Linked DNA regions of Bombyx mori. The protein of the gene in region 1 purifies or fractionates together with the protein of each later gene. This does not show direct contact. Links are inferred from orthologs where the notes say so. Each region holds a gene or a part of one and is shown on either strand. Other genes may lie near its edges.

The links. Proteins that work in one complex are often made in the same cells at the same time.
Region 2: the proteins of myotrophin (region 1) and F-actin capping protein beta subunit purify together in Homo sapiens (co-immunoprecipitation; 3 studies listed by BioGRID and IntAct, with this or other methods). This does not show direct contact. The link is inferred for Bombyx mori from reciprocal best matches to the Homo sapiens genes MTPN and CAPZB.

The regions. Positions count from the first base shown.
Region 1 is NC_085109.1:7,219,965-7,223,724, reverse strand, and holds the start of myotrophin, read right to left. Parts: upstream 2,274-3,760; 5' UTR 2,140-2,273; coding exon 2,071-2,139; intron 1,802-2,070; coding exon 1,691-1,801; intron 1,600-1,690; coding exon 1,516-1,599; intron 1,482-1,515; exon of another isoform or gene 1,346-1,481; coding exon of another isoform or gene 1,320-1,345; intron 1,314-1,319; exon of another isoform or gene 977-1,313; coding exon of another isoform or gene 854-976; intron 498-853; coding exon of another isoform or gene 424-497; intron 99-423; coding exon 12-98; 3' UTR 1-11. Other genes in the region: uncharacterized protein LOC119628361, read left to right, coding at 424-497, 854-976. UniProt on the Homo sapiens protein: Promotes dimerization of NF-kappa-B subunits and regulates NF-kappa-B transcription factor activity. Plays a role in the regulation of the growth of actin filaments.
Region 2 is NC_085109.1:2,866,703-2,870,462, forward strand, and holds the start of F-actin capping protein beta subunit, read left to right. Parts: upstream 1-1,251; 5' UTR 1,252-1,399; coding exon 1,400-1,402; intron 1,403-1,525; coding exon 1,526-1,910; intron 1,911-2,730; coding exon 2,731-2,930; intron 2,931-3,450; coding exon 3,451-3,562; intron 3,563-3,760. UniProt on the Homo sapiens protein: F-actin-capping proteins bind in a Ca(2+)-independent manner to the fast growing ends of actin filaments (barbed end) thereby blocking the exchange of subunits at these ends.

The DNA of each region.
Region 1 (3,760 bases):
AGTATAGTCATTCACGTCAAGAGTTCTTTGATTTCATCTTTTTCAGCAGCTTCAAGGTATGGGGTGCCATCTGGGGTTTTACCATTCTTAGAAGCTCCCTGCAAGCAAGCAAACAATTTGTAATTAGTTAATTTAAGAGAATTTGGAGAATTTCTTTATGCTTTAGATCCTCTTCTTCCTTCATCCATTTGTAATAACAATTATCCTATCTTTATAGCCTTATCCAACTTTTCTTCTTATTATTTTTATTTATACAGTCTACATTTGTTACAAATTTAAAAAGTTTTCTAGATTTCTTTTTATTGCACAATATGTCCATGATCAAAAACTGCTGAGTGAATTTAGAGCACATATTCAGTAGCACAACCAGAAACCCTTTCAGTAAAGTGCTCACTTTGATGATAATAATGCCTGTGTCCCTAGAAGACTACTGGCTCTGGATTCAGCAAAGTAGTTTCCATGACCATCACATCAGGCAACATGATGGAATCCAGCAGGTGAGTCCTCTTGGTGTTCACCTTAAGTTAACTATGACTTAATTCAAAGTACAAATCATAATGACTCAAGATGATTTGTGAGCTTGTTTTATTAAACAATGTTATTCCTTAATAATGGAAGTCATTTGTGAATATATGTTGAGTATGTAATTCATTATGCCAACTGTACATGTTTGTCGGGACACCACGAGACAGAATAAGGACGAGTGTGTTCATGGCACCCTTGTCTCAGCTCGTGGCTCTCGGAAACGTGTCAGTTTTTACGCTCTAGTCCAAGGGTCTCAGGGAGTCTTGAGATGAAAACCAGAGCATGCCTGTACACGCTCATTCATTTAGTTGTCCGTCAACTGCATCAGTTTCTTCTAGGTCCATTCCAAAGAGAATTTGAAGTTCAATTGATACAACAAGTGTGTACATGGTGTGGTCTCGTGTCAAGCTTCTACGAGACGAGAGCAAACAAGCGACACATGAGACAATGAGATGAATGTGTACAGCACATTAGAAAAATTGTTACCCAGCTGCTGGATTCCAACAATGGTACAGTCACAATTCAACACTAATGCAATAGGAATCTTAAACCTTTATGTCACAATGGCCTTAAATTTTTTTTTTTTTAATTATAATTACATGATATTATTTACCCCTTTGACTGTCGTGTAGGTCACCAGTGCCTTCAGTGGCCACATTAAAGTAATTATGTCGATTTCTATTATTTAGCACCTCGATTGCCTAACTTTGCTTTCTTTTGTTTTTAATGAATTGAACTTTTAGGTCTTTTAAAAATAGATTCATTCTCATTTTCTTCTGATTTATCTTTCGCAGAGTCTACTAGATATTATAGCGCTTAGTAAGAAGATCGAAGACAGAAATTGACATAATTGCTTATCTGCCCCATGTAGGGTGCCAGTGATCTATGTAGCAGTAAAAGGGTTAATTATTTTTAAAGCTCTGTAATTGTTAATTATTAAATTATTAATATCACAATTCTATGTATTATTTAAACTGCGAACATACTTACATTCTTGAGTAATGTTTTGACACAGTCAGTGTGGCCTTCCCATATTGCAGCTAATAGAACTGATATTCCATGTTTATCAACAACCTGTCAATTACCAAATTAAGTGTCTACAGGTAAAATAGTTATTTGTATGTTACAAATCAATCATTCTGGTTTATGGTTAATCTATGCTTACATTTGGATCAGCCCCTTTGTTCAGTAAATAGTTCAAGACCGTTGTTTGTCCATAGTCTGCTGCATAGTGTAATGGAACTCTTCCATCTATAGAAGCATTCACGTCTATTTTCTAAAATAATATTATTGCACGACATTAAATCATTTATTAAGGCATGATATTAGTATCATAATTGCATATTATCTAAATCTGTAAAAATGGTCGTACAATGGTAAGTACAAAGAAGTATAATGAAGCAAGGATAATTTTGGGACATTTTGTTGTTTGTAATTACATTCTCGAGTGCAAGAATACTTTCTCTTGCCAACAATACAATGCTAGCGGTTTCGTATGTTTACGCAAATAATGAATAATGTAAAATTATGATGTACACTGCCTACCTTATTTTCAATAATGTCCTTTACTTGGTCTATATCCCCGTTTTTGATTCCCCAAACTAATTCGCTCATGATGATGTACTTTTTAATCCTTTTTAAGTTTATCACTTTTTTAAATCGAATACAATACAATGGAAGAAATGGCGTTTTTGTCAGATTTTGACATTTTTTTTTAAATTAGTGACATAGTAGTAATTTCATTTTTCCAACTGGAAAGCCGAAGCTATCACACCATACAGCCTAATCTTTTGTATTTTTTGATGAAGGTGAATAATTTGAGACATTAATTAATTTGAATGAAATTAAATGAAATGAGATGAAATAAAGTGTCAGTAAAATGGTGATTATTTACTGAGACAATTACTGGACTTTTTGGAAAATCCCGAGAAGTTACGTCTAGCGATTTTGTTACTATTATTACACACAATTAAACTTGAAAGCTGAAGGTATCAGACTACACACAAGAAATTAGTTTTACCCAAAATAGAAATAGTGTGAAATTTAATAAATTAAATCATGAGACGAAATAATAAATGATGATTTAAGATGCAACCAAATGCAGTAGCCTCTCTGTAAAGTTATGGAAATTTATTGATTATTTAAGGATTTTTATACAAATACGGACGAAGCAAGTATTTCGACGTAGCTATTTACGTCTACCGATTTGATTTCATTTGTTTAAACTTAGTTTTGTATTCTTTTATTGATACTAAATGGTCAATAAATTACAAATTTTATGTGTTTAAACCAGAAGCAACTATTACATTGATAAAATAAATGTAGTGTCTTAAATAGCTTAACCTCTAGCACCGCGCTTATTATATAAGATTAAATATCCAACACATCGAGTCATAAGTACAAGCTTTAAGCACGAGTCATTGAACTCTACGCATTTCGAACAATAGTTTGAAACGATGCTACCTAAACTTGGAGAAAAATTTGAGTTGGTAATGGAAATGCATCATATCATTCAAAGCGTCTTGAAAATAATTCTACTACTGCCTGAAAAAAAGGACATATGTATATAAAACTAGCCAGCAGATTACTGCTGAAAGATGGAAACGTTGTGGGGCACGTCACCAAGGAAGAAAACAACTTTTATGGCAAAATTGATGAAATTATAGATAGACACTTTTGTTATTTAAGTTACTGATTCAGAAATAGAATACTCGGAATCGTCGGGCGACAGTAATAATTAATATGTTAAGAAATTTATTGTAGGTATACCTACAGGTATCTATAACAAAAATAAAAATCATTTTTTTTTTATTTGATCCACAGGTTGTGAGCCCCAGAACGTGTGTTTATAAATAGCTTCTCGTGACCGGGGACTACAGTAATAGGGGTTATAGTATAAATTTTTGAATACGAGTTCCGACGCCGAACTAACGCTTCAGAAACAGCTTGCAATATCAATGTTGCGTATGAAGAGGGGACTTTTACTTTTTCCTAGCTATGCTGATAGCCTTGAGAGGCTATTTCAGCTTCTCCTTGACGCTTAGGTGAGCTCACGGGGCTCAAACCGGGAGTGTTGCTAACACTGACCCTAGTAAGAGCAGTGCTTCGCAGAATCTACCACCGGATTGGAAACGCGACTCGCGAAACGGCAGATGTCTACTGTGCTGAACTCCGAACAATGATAGCAAAATTTGTAGTGAAACAGCCCTGATTCATGAATCGATCTTTGCTATTA
Region 2 (3,760 bases), about 4.4 Mb from region 1:
GGCGGTAATTCAAGAAGCAAAGTTGTGTGAATTCTTTTACTTTGTTAATGTAGTGTTTATTCAGTCCTAAATGTGTGTTAATGGTTGTTTATTAACTGTTTAATATCTGCAAAAATGCATAAATTGAGAAAATGAACAAGATATCTGGACAAAGTTTCGCAATAAATAACCACTACGTTTTTGAGACTGTTTTTTAATCCCATACCATTTCGTTTGATTTAAGTTCACTCCTATTGATTAATGTTCCAAATTAATCAACTTCATGGTAGTTTCCCAATTACAGAGCATAATACGACTCAGTGGCACACAATGCCGAATTATGCTGAAGCTTAATTGGAACGTGAATTAGTTTTCAAATGCATCAGCAGAGTGCGCTGTTGTTCAGTGTTGAAAAAAAAATATTTACGGAGCTAGCAACCTCATTAATGTATAAATAATGTGGTAAACAATAATAATTGGTTGAAAACTATTTACGGTTATTTTAAGTAATTTGGATTTCGATTATTTCATTAACATTTTTTTTCGTTTTGAGTATTTTTTAAATGAGTTCTAAGAAAATGATGTGTATACTTTTTAATTGAATCATCTTATCCAGATGACAGTGATGACGATAATTTATCGAGTGCTCCGAGTTTAAATCAATCAATTATTTCATTATCAAGTGATATATTTATTGAAAATATTTATGATAATGAAACAGATGAGTTATTTGAGCCATTAATAAAATCTCTGATGACAGGCAGTACTTTTGAGAGTGCTCGATTGTGCGAAGCGTTGCTGTAGTTGGAACATTCAACGTTGAGCATTATGCCGCATAATGCGCTCTAGTGCTGTTATTGGAAAACTATCCATGATACCTAGGGATGAAAGGCTGTTGGTTTAAACGAAATTTTTGCAACCTTACACGAGAGCCATTTTATGTTTAAAATTTGAAAAAAAATATCATAAAGAAACCTCTTCAGCTATTTGAATGTGGTAAACTTAATTGAAGCTCAATTAAAAACATCGATATGTTGATATGATACAAAATAAAATGCACCTTTAATTATAAAGATAAATGTCGCGTATTAATTGAAATGTCGCTTAAACTAAATAGCTACTCACCACCCGATATAGAGCGAAATGAATTACTTTATATTATTTTTATAAAACAGAATATGCAAAAGATTAGGTTAAATGACTTTAAAATGATTAAGTTAATCCCTTCGCCTTTCTAGTGAAAAAAATATAACTACCACTACATATGCAGGTACTTTACTAAACTTCAAGTGTCAAATTACGTCAAGTTATCATTTTCGGGTTGGGACTTTTAAAACTTGTAGTTATTAATTTAATGAAATAATTATACTACTTTGGTTATTTTGTTATTAATTGTTAATCCGAATAATAAAACTTCAATATGGTAAGTTGTCTTTCCAGTTTCAGTGACCTGGCATACATCATAACAAGCTATTTGTTGTGATGACTAATGCAAGGAAATTAAGAAGTATTTATACTAAAATCGTGCATATATATTTTGTTACAGAGTGACCAACAAATGGATTGTGCACTGGACTTGATGCGGAGGCTGCCCCCTCAGCAGATCGAAAAGAATTTAACAGATTTGATAGATCTCGTTCCGAGTATGTGTGACGACCTATTATCATCAGTAGATCAGCCTCTAAAGATTGCTCAGGATCGTAGCAACGGGAAAGACTATTTATTATGCGATTACAATCGCGACGGTGACTCCTATAGGTCTCCTTGGTCGAATACTTACGACCCACCATTAGATGATGGCTCCATGCCCTCTGAACGCTTGAGAAAACTAGAAATAGATGCCAACCTCGCCTTTGATCAATATCGAGAGATGTACTTTGAAGGTGGCGTTAGCTCAGTCTACCTTTGGGATATGGATCATGGCTTTGCAGGTGAGCACTCTTAATTTAGTCTCTGTAAATTAAAGACATGTATTAGAACAGTAAATTCCAGGGTGGCTGTGCATTACAGAAAAGTAATAATAGTATTTTTATTACTTTAGGGGGCAACTAAAGAAGACTAGTAGAACAGAAACTAGCAATTTTTAGTTCTTTTATATTAATCTGTTTGTTTGTTGAAGCACTTCTCTGGAATTTCTGAATGGATTTTCACTTTGCTTTCATATAGACAGATATTAATTTAGAGATCAATAAAGAGTTTCATAAAATTTAATTTTGCTAGAAAGTTATTGTTAATTTTAAATACTTTTATTATTTACTTTTATACTCTTTGATCTTAAAAGTTCTATAACAAATATCATTAACAATATGAAAGTAACTGTCTATATGTTATGTTTTCATCTCTAAACCAGTATGCCAATTTTTACAAAATTCTGTGGAAATAGTTTGAGCTCTAAGAATAAATATAAGCTATCTTTCATTTCACCACTGGGTATGGATCTCTATAAAGTGTAAAAACTACTTTTAAATAAAGAGTAAATAATATTAATTTGGTAATATTTTTATACTTTTAGTTAAATAATCTCTCACATAAAACATTAATCTTCATGTTTAATTGCATCATCTTTTTCATTCATTATTTTCATTGACACTCTATTTTAATTCTTTGAAATGATTAATGAAATATTAGTGTATATAATAGTATTTTATAGTATAAAATACTCATCTATACACTAATATTTCATTATTTAGTCCACCTTTAAATATTTAAAAATAATAATTACAAATACAAAAATAAACAAAACAATTTCAGGAGTAATATTAATCAAGAAAGCTGGAGATGGTTCCCAAAAGATCAAAGGATGCTGGGATTCAATCCACGTAGTGGAGGTGATCGAGAAGAGTTCAGGACGCAATGCTCACTACAAGTTGACCTCGACTGCAATGTTGTGGCTTCAGACTAATAAAGAAAGCAGCGGCACGATGAACCTTGGAGGCAGTTTGACTAGACAGGTAAATTTAGTTTTATTTTATATGCACAAAGCTTAATAATATTGTGCAGGAGTTCTATTTTTATATTTATGCAACAACAACAATGCAATTGCAGCCTCACAATTGCATTCTGGTACTGCATCCCCAAATCTTAATAAAATTATAATGCCATCATCATCACTATCATTCTCTTGCCCTACTCCCAGTGACCTGGGGTCGGCGCAACATGTTTTCTCCTTCCATACTCCTCTATCATAAACTATTTCTTCTTTACTCCCCTCTTACACATAATATCATCTTTCACTCAATCCATCCAATTTTTTTAGGTCTATCTCTCCCTCTAAAGCCTTGCACATTCACAGTTAAAACTCTTAACAATCTCATTGTCATTTCGTCTTATTACATGTCCATATCATTCCAAATACACACTTCTTAACTTCTCTGTCCCATGTGCCTCTTTCAGACTTTCTGTATTCTATCCATTTACTCTAAAATTATAATATCGTATTTTTAATATTATAGATTATCTTTTGAATTTCAGGCAGAACAAGACTCGACAGTAAGTGATGTGACTCCGCACATTGCAAATATTGGGCGCATGGTGGAAGACATGGAAAATAAGATCAGAAACACACTTAACGACATTTATTTTGGTATCAATTTTTCCTTTTAAATTACTTTATATTTAACAGACAAGTTATTGCCACTTTCAAATTTAAAAGACAAGTTATTGCCACTTTCAAATTTAAAATTCATTCTTCGTTGCACTATTTCCCTATTGCACTATTTCTATGTCATTACTTCTCGTAAGATTTTTCTCCACCTGTTTCTTTTTCTGGTGGTGTGGAGGG